2 linked regions of the Saccharomyces cerevisiae S288C genome follow. The main gene of each other region encodes a partner of the protein of the gene in region 2 in a complex. Each region holds a gene or a part of one and is shown on either strand. Other genes may lie near its edges. A codon is read from its position in the direction of its gene.

Region 1 (3,925 bases), on a different chromosome or scaffold from region 2:
CGCTGCTGGTGGTGAAGCAGATTCTCCACGTGCTTCCTGCAGTAAAACTGAGGGCTTATCTAGCTGCGATTTGTCAACTTTTCTCAAAGCGCCTATGCCACCTGCCCCTCTAATTGAAGCTAAAAGTGCATCACGACCTGCATCTCCAGTAGTTTCAGCGAATGAACCGCCTCCGGATGTTGATGTAGCTGGCATTTGAGGAGGTGGGGGTGGAGCTGGAGCTCCTCCAGATTGAGGTTGTTGAGTTAGGAATGCTGGTGGCGGAGGTGGTGCAGCACTCGTCGTCGATGGTAACGTTGGCGGAATAGGTGCTGAGGGTGCTGACTGAGGTATCTGCGACTGGCCTAAAGATGCCGGAGGAGGTGGTGGTGCCACTGGCACATTTGTGGCTTGCGAAGGTGCTTGAGTATTCTGAGGAAGGGGAACTGCAGGTTGTCCAGTTGCTGCAGTCATTTGTGGTGTCAGGGTATTGAAAGTTGTCACTGGAGGAGGGGGTGGAGATGACATGTTGCTATTTGTCTGATATCCAAAGGGGCGGTTAGAATTATTGTACTGTTGTGGATTTTGTTGCATCGTAACGTTTGGTGTGGGGCGAGATGCTCTTGGAGGAGGTGGTGGTGCTGGCCCTCTTCTTCCAGTGGCCTGTGGAAGGAGGCTATTTCCACCGGCAGAATTCAGGGTATTACTGGTTACGTGCCTATGTGGTGGAGGCGGTGGTGCTGGCCCACGCCTTGGCGGAGGTGGAGGAGCAGGTAGGCGAACACCTGAACCTTCAGTAGTGGTACGCATTGGCGGAGGAGGTGGCACAGGCCGATTATTTCTGTTAGGCAACTGTGGAAGGGGCCTATTCTGCTGTGGTATGCCCATTGAAGGAGCTTGATTAAACTGCTGCTGAGGTACCGGAAATGGAAATGGGTTTGTTGCAGACTGTGTCGAGGGAATTTCAGGAATTGGGAATGGAAATGGATTGCTTTGGGGTTGCGAAGGCGCGTTATTTTGAGGTGGAGAGTTATGTTGTGGAGGGTCTGGTAATGGCGCAAACTGATTTGGTAAAGGCGGTAAACTATGCTTTGGATGCGTTTCTTCTTTTCTTACTTCAGGAGATGCAGGAGGAAGAGCAGGGGCTGGGGTAGTCGGTGCGGATGCTGTTGTCGAATTGATATCGGAAAATGAACTTGTTTGGTCTGAATCAAATGTTTCGGCCGTTGGCGGAGGAGGGGGAGGAGCCTTATGCTTTGTAGTTGGAATTGTGTCCACATCTTCATAATTATATCTTTTCCTTTGATTGTCAATCAATGACTCCCCTCTTGGGCCGTGCACCACTTGAGATTTTTGTTCTTCTCTTACTTTCTTGGTTAATGCTACAGCATTTTTGTTCAACAAAGTTTTCCTGTTAGCATATCTTTCACGCTTTTGAACTCTCTTTAAAAAGTGCGATGCTTCATTAATATCTACAAACAATAAACCTGCAAAGCATTCTTCCATCTCAAATGTATGAAAAAAAGTACGGTCTTGATAGTATTCAAAATTCACATACAATTCTTGGTCCCAGATAACTCCTCTATGGCCATTGATGTCAACTAATTTCAAAAAAAAAGTATTCCCCACAAGATCGTCTACTAGAGCAAGAGCTCCTGAAAGTCCAGTGTACTGCCATTCATTTTTATCAGGGTATGCAATGTATAGTCGAGCCACCGTAACATCAATAATCTTATTCGACGCTTTTGGTAGAGCCCTTTTGATAATTTCCTTATCTGAAGAGTTTAGGAGTCCCATATTAAATCACGCCTATCAACACTTAAAGTAACGAACTGTAATTTGTAGCGGAGATGGCAATCGCTACAGCACTTCCTTTTCTACTATGTATATTCTACATTCAATATTTATTATTACATATTCATGATTTTTTTTCATAGGTATTGACTGGCCCCTTTTCGGACGTCTCGCACGTATTCAATGATCATATAAACTATTTGGAAAATTCAAAAAAAAACAACTATAAGATCAGTTAAGACTTATATCATAGATCTTTTAAACCAGAGACACAATTTCAAGTACCATGGGCAACTGCTTGCATTGCATTTAGTTTTGCCTTTTTTCTAATTGCAAAAGAAGAGTATTCCAAAACCACTTCTTTGATAAATCGTCCACGTCAGCCGGCGTTACTTGAAACTAAACGCATACTTTATGAAAAAGGGCCATCAACTTGTCTTTTTGTTAACATTCATTTTGAAAATATGAACTTTGGTATAATTGAAAATCTAGCATATCTATATTTTTTGAATATATTTAGGCGATAACTTAAAAAAGCATTGTTTCAGTTCTGAAGTTTGTTGCTTGTTTCTATTCTTTACTGGATGTCTGAAACCCCAAAAAAAAAAAAAAAAAAAGGACTCCACAAGTAGCGGCTGTAAGCGCGCTAAACTCCGACAGTGTATTATATATACGTAAACGATCCTGATAGAAAAATCCAATCCATTACCCCGGGATTATTTTATTACAGAGTAGGATTTTCTGGTGTTAAGTCTAGTGAGTTATCTTCTAACTATGAGCAGTCGTGTGTGCTACCATATTAATGGTCCCTTTTTCATAATCAAATTAATTGATCCAAAACATTTGAACTCTTTAACTTTCGAGGATTTTGTATACATTGCACTATTACTGCATAAGGCAAACGATATTGATTCTGTTTTGTTTACTGTTCTACAAAGCTCAGGCAAGTATTTCTCCTCGGGAGGTAAGTTTTCAGCAGTTAACAAGCTAAACGATGGAGACGTTACAAGCGAAGTGGAGAAAGTCTCAAAGCTGGTATCTGCTATAAGCTCTCCTAACATATTTGTGGCGAACGCATTTGCAATCCATAAAAAGGTTCTGGTGTGCTGTTTGAATGGACCGGCCATCGGACTTAGCGCATCGCTAGTTGCTCTTTGTGACATTGTTTACTCGCAAAACGATTCAGTATTTCTTCTTTTTCCCTTCAGCAATCTCGGTTTTGTCGCAGAAGTGGGAACTTCTGTTACCTTAACTCAAAAACTGGGTATAAATTCTGCAAACGAACATATGATTTTCAGCACACCAGTTCTATTTAAAGAATTGATAGGAACTATTATTACAAAAAATTATCAATTGACAAATACTGAAACATTCAATGAAAAAGTTCTTCAGGACATAAAGCAGAATTTAGAAGGGCTTTATCCGAAAAGTGTACTAGGTATGAAAGAATTGTTACACAGTGAAATGAAACAGAAGCTTATCAAAGCACAAGCAATGGAGACTAACGGAACCTTGCCTTTTTGGGCAAGCGGCGAGCCATTCAAAAGATTTAAACAGCTTCAAGAGGGAAACAGGCGCCACAAGTTATAATAATATAGCATTTAGAGATAGGATTTTAACATAAAAAATCTACTACACGATCATACTTCTGCAATTGTTAAATTCCGGGTTCTTTAATACTTTAATGTTGGCGCACAATATTTTATATCTGTTGTAAAATCCGCTTACAATATAAGTGAAATTGTTCCATTTTGTTTCATAGGAATTCTTACTCAAAAAGGATGTTTTTTAATATTCATATAATATTTACAAATAGCTCTCTGAAAAAAAGGATTTTTTTTTACACCTAATAAAACTGTCATTCATGTTAAGTAACTAAAGTGCTTCACAACTGTACTTAATGAACTGAATCAATTTCCTTGGCAATGCAAATTCTTCCAGACAAGAGGCGGCCGCGGCGGTATCTCTAGAAAATTTGGCAGCCGCACAAAAGGGTCCTACTGATGACGGGCTGGCAAACGGCGCTCTCCAAGGCACAAACTTTGTGACAAAATAGAATCCAGCGGCAGAGATCCGGATAAAAATGGGGGAGTGGACTTTCAAAAGCCGTACACCTCTTGTACTGAGGACAAATAATACAAGTTAAACTTGA
Region 2 (3,925 bases):
TCCCCTGAAATGGATTTAGTCAAAGAATTTATCGACCCGTTGCGAGCAACTCTTGTTTGTGGGGAAGAGACAGGCAAAACATTTCCAGTTGTGTTTTGTGATGAATTTTCAATATCATGTGATACTTCTGCAGTACGGTGGGAGATTGGTGGTTCTTGAGGGTAAATTTTTTCTCCGGAATTAACATTCTCTGACTCATTATTACCTATCTGAAAAGCTTGCTCCACCATCGAATGCTTTCTCAACCCATCGTTTGCATCCTCAAACTCGTGGTCGTCAGTATCTTCATCAGAATCATGGTCAGAGTATTCGGGATGTGCATTATCAACAGCAGCTAAATTGTGATAGGCGTGTGTACCATGTTCTTGCTTCTGTTCATGCTCTGTGGTTGCATGAGGATCTAGCGTCTTTGTTTCAGTGGGTTGATTCTTCTCACTTAGATTTGATTTCCTAAAAAATGGGTTAGAACTTGGGTCAACAAATGGCATAACAGGTATGGCACGAGGTAGTTCTTGGAGCTGTTCAGGTTCCTCCTCCTCCTTCTCCTTATGCTGTTTCTTTTTCGGCTCTTCTGATGGTTTATTTCCAACTCCAGAAGCCATACCGAAGGGGTTAAAACCAACAGGAGCACCGAATCTACTAGCGCCAGATAGTTTAGCCATTCTTTCTCTCAATGCGGCCCTACGATTCTCTTCACTATCTTCCTCTTCTTTTTCCTCATCATTATCTCCCTCTCTGTCTTCATGGCCGTAACCTATTTCGCTTTCCTCAGCAACATTTTCTCCTCTTGCCTCGTCTGCTTGTGACTCCTCAACTTTCTGATTTTCCTTTGTGTACTCATCTAAAAATTGTTCTTTCTCTATGTCATTCGTGCCTTCATCTGCTTCGCGTGAGGTTTTAGTAATCTCTTTATGTGCCAATAATTCCATTTGCGGTTCCTCGTTGTGCTCAGTTTCAGGCGTAAATTCAGGTTTCGGTTCAGTTTTTTCATTTTCTTCTGCTTCTTCAGTTTCCGTATAGGGCTCATTCTTGTTAACCGCACTACGTTCATGTTCTTGTTCGAGCTTAGCCTTTTTTCTCAAGAGTTCTTCTTCTCTTGCAGCCTGTAATCTTTGTTGCTCCTGTAAAAGAGCAATTCTTTCTTTAAGGCTCATCTGGGGCAAATCCTTCTTTAATTGGTCATTCTCAGTTTCTATTCTTCCACTTTCCACCTGTGCACGATTAATTGGTTCGGGAACAATCTTTTTTTCGTTTTCCTTTAGGGACTTTTTCCTTTCAAGATTGGACGTATCATTTGTTGGAATTCCAGGGGGGACATAGTATTTAGGAGCATCTGCCACAATTGTTTTTTTCACAGGTATGTTTTCTAAATCCAAGTGAGTTGATTTTGGTAAAGGAACTTGCTCCGTTATATCTTGATTAAACATAGATAAGCGAGCCTTCAATTTTGGAGAATCCATGGGAACTTTTCTTTCGCCATTACCACTACTACTATCATGCTGGACCTGTGCTGATACTGCTGTAGCGGCTGGAACTGGCACTGTAGCGGCTGGAACTGGCACTGTAGCGGCTGGAACTGGCACTGGCCCGGACAGAGTTTCTTTCTTCGTTTCAGGGGAAATGGGCTCTGGTAGGTCCTTTTGTTCTACTTCCGGCTGGATTGTACGTTGCTCAGTGGAACCGGTATTCGGAGATGATTCGGCTTCCTTTCCAACTTCAGATCCCTGAACAGCAACAAAACTTTTCGGGAAGATACCCTCAATAACGTCGCCATTTGAATCCTGGTATTCACCAAAGTACCATTCGGCGTCTTCAACAGACGTAACAATAATCTCTTGATCTTTTTCAAAATTTAAATCGTCCTCGTAATCGGACTTGTATGGGAACTGAGCCACCACCTTGAAGGGCACTTCGGGTTCACTCATCCTTAGTTTGGGTAAGACTGTGTTTACTTCTAGTAGCTCTTGCAGTTGGGACGCGATTGATGTTTACTACCGACTTGACGCTACTGTTTCACAGTGTGCTAGTAAATACCACTTCTAGTTGAAGTCTTAAGGAGATTATAATTCTGGAGGTAAAATAGGGGCATTGTAGACCTCTAACTATTTTCAGGGTATATTCCTATATTATATAGGTTTATTCTTAAAATATGAGGTTTATAAATGATACACATCACTTATTGATAGGGTTATACTCTTTGATACGGGTAACATATGAGACGCGAAAATGGAATATAATGACAATGTAAATATCGTCATCTTGAGATAATTATCAACAAGGTTGTCATGAGGAGTTACAGATAAAAGTCAACAGAGTGGAGTTAGTGGTGTTTTAACTGTAGTGCTCCATAGTTTCACGGCGGTTTCTCTTGTTTTCAGTTGGTAGTAACTTTTATCCTGGAAGTGCTGGAAATGAATAACTCAAATGAGCATAGGCGGGAAGAGGCAGGAGCGGCTAATGAACAAATGCCTTACAATAAGGCTGTAAAGTCCGCGTATGCAGATGTCCTCAAGGACAAAATGAATAGGGAACAGGAGATTAGCCTACGAGCCATCAAAAAAGGGATATACACCGATGGCGGTGAAACTGACAACTATGATATGGATAAAGAGAATGATTCCGCGTACGAAATGTTCAAAAAAAATCTTGATTTTCCGTTAGACCAACATAATGATGACGACGATGATGATCCGTACATTGAGGATAATGGACAAGAGACCGACGGATATAGCGACGAGGACTATACAGATGAGGCAGACAAGAGTTTTATAGAAGACAGCGATTCCGACAGCTACGATTTGGAAAGTAATTCTGACTTTGAAGAGAACTTGGAAAGTTCAGGTGAAGCTAAGAAGTTGAAGTGGCGGACGTACATTTTCTATGGAGGCCTTTTCTTCGTTTTTTATTTTTTTGGATCTTTTTTGATGACAACCGTGAAAAATAATGATTTAGAAAGCCATTCATCCGGCGCTACATCCTCTCCAGGCAAATCATTCAGCAACCTACAAAAACAGGTGAATCATTTATATAGTGAGTTGAGTAAGCGGGACGAAAAGCACAGTTCAGAATTGGATAAAACAGTAAAAATCATTGTCTCTCAATTTGAAAAGAATATTAAAAGACTTTTACCCTCAAATTTGGTTAATTTTGAAAATGACATTAACTCGCTGACAAAACAGGTTGAGACAATTTCAACTTCCATGAGTGAGTTACAGAGGCGAAATCACAAATTTACGGTCGAGAATGTTACTCAATGGCAAGATCAACTGGTAAAACAGTTGGATACACACCTCCCTCAAGAAATACCCGTTGTAATTAATAATTCTTCGTCGCTTTTAATAATCCCTGAATTGCACAATTATTTGAGTGCTTTGATTTCAGACGTTATTGAGTCTCCAGGCATTGGTACTGCTGGAAGCGCTGAAAGTCGTTGGGAGTATGATTTGAATCGCTATGTAAAGGAAATTCTTTCGAATGAGTTGCAATATATCGATAAGGATTATTTCATCCAAGAAATGAACAGAAGGTTGCAATCTAACAAACAGGAGATTTGGGAAGAGATCACAAATAGGTTAGAGACACAGCAGCAGCAGCAGCAGCAGCAGGTTCAACAGGATTATTCTAACGTGCCACAGCAGTATTCGAGCATATTAATGAAAAGATTAATTCACCAAATTTACAATTCCAATCAACACCAATGGGAGGACGATTTAGATTTTGCTACTTATGTTCAAGGTACTAAACTATTGAACCATTTAACTTCACCAACCTGGAGACAGGGCAGTGGGGTACAGCCGATAGAATTACTGACCGACTCCAAACAAAGCTCCTCAACTTACTGGCAATGTGAGAACGAACCTGGGTGTTCATGGGCCATAAGGTTTAAAACTCCTTTGTATCTAACCAAAATTTCGTACATGCATGG

What was found.
Region 1: the proteins of BBC1 (region 2) and LAS17 are in contact, whole or in part, in a crystal structure (PDB 1ZUK), measured with the Saccharomyces cerevisiae proteins. Residues at the interface, in NP_012514.2 of Saccharomyces cerevisiae: Phe14 (codon at 1,886), Tyr16 (codon at 1,880), Tyr20 (codon at 1,868), Asp23 (codon at 1,859), Asp39 (codon at 1,811), Glu41 (codon at 1,805), Trp42 (codon at 1,802), Ile58 (codon at 1,754), Pro60 (codon at 1,748), Ser62 (codon at 1,742), Phe63 (codon at 1,739); in NP_014824.1 of Saccharomyces cerevisiae: Arg350 (codon at 729), Gly351 (codon at 726), Pro352 (codon at 723), Ala353 (codon at 720), Pro354 (codon at 717), Pro355 (codon at 714), Pro356 (codon at 711), Pro357 (codon at 708).

Annotation. Positions count from the first base shown.
Region 1 is NC_001147.6:673,790-677,714, reverse strand, and holds the start of LAS17 (actin-binding protein LAS17), read right to left. Parts: upstream 1,777-3,925; coding exon 1-1,776. Other genes in the region: putative dodecenoyl-CoA isomerase DCI1, read left to right, coding at 2,548-3,363.
Region 2 is NC_001142.9:400,486-404,410, forward strand, and holds the start of BBC1 (Bbc1p), read right to left. Parts: upstream 1,926-3,925; coding exon 1-1,925. Other genes in the region: MPS3 (Mps3p), read left to right, coding at 2,412-3,925. UniProt on the Saccharomyces cerevisiae protein: Involved in the regulation of actin cytoskeleton.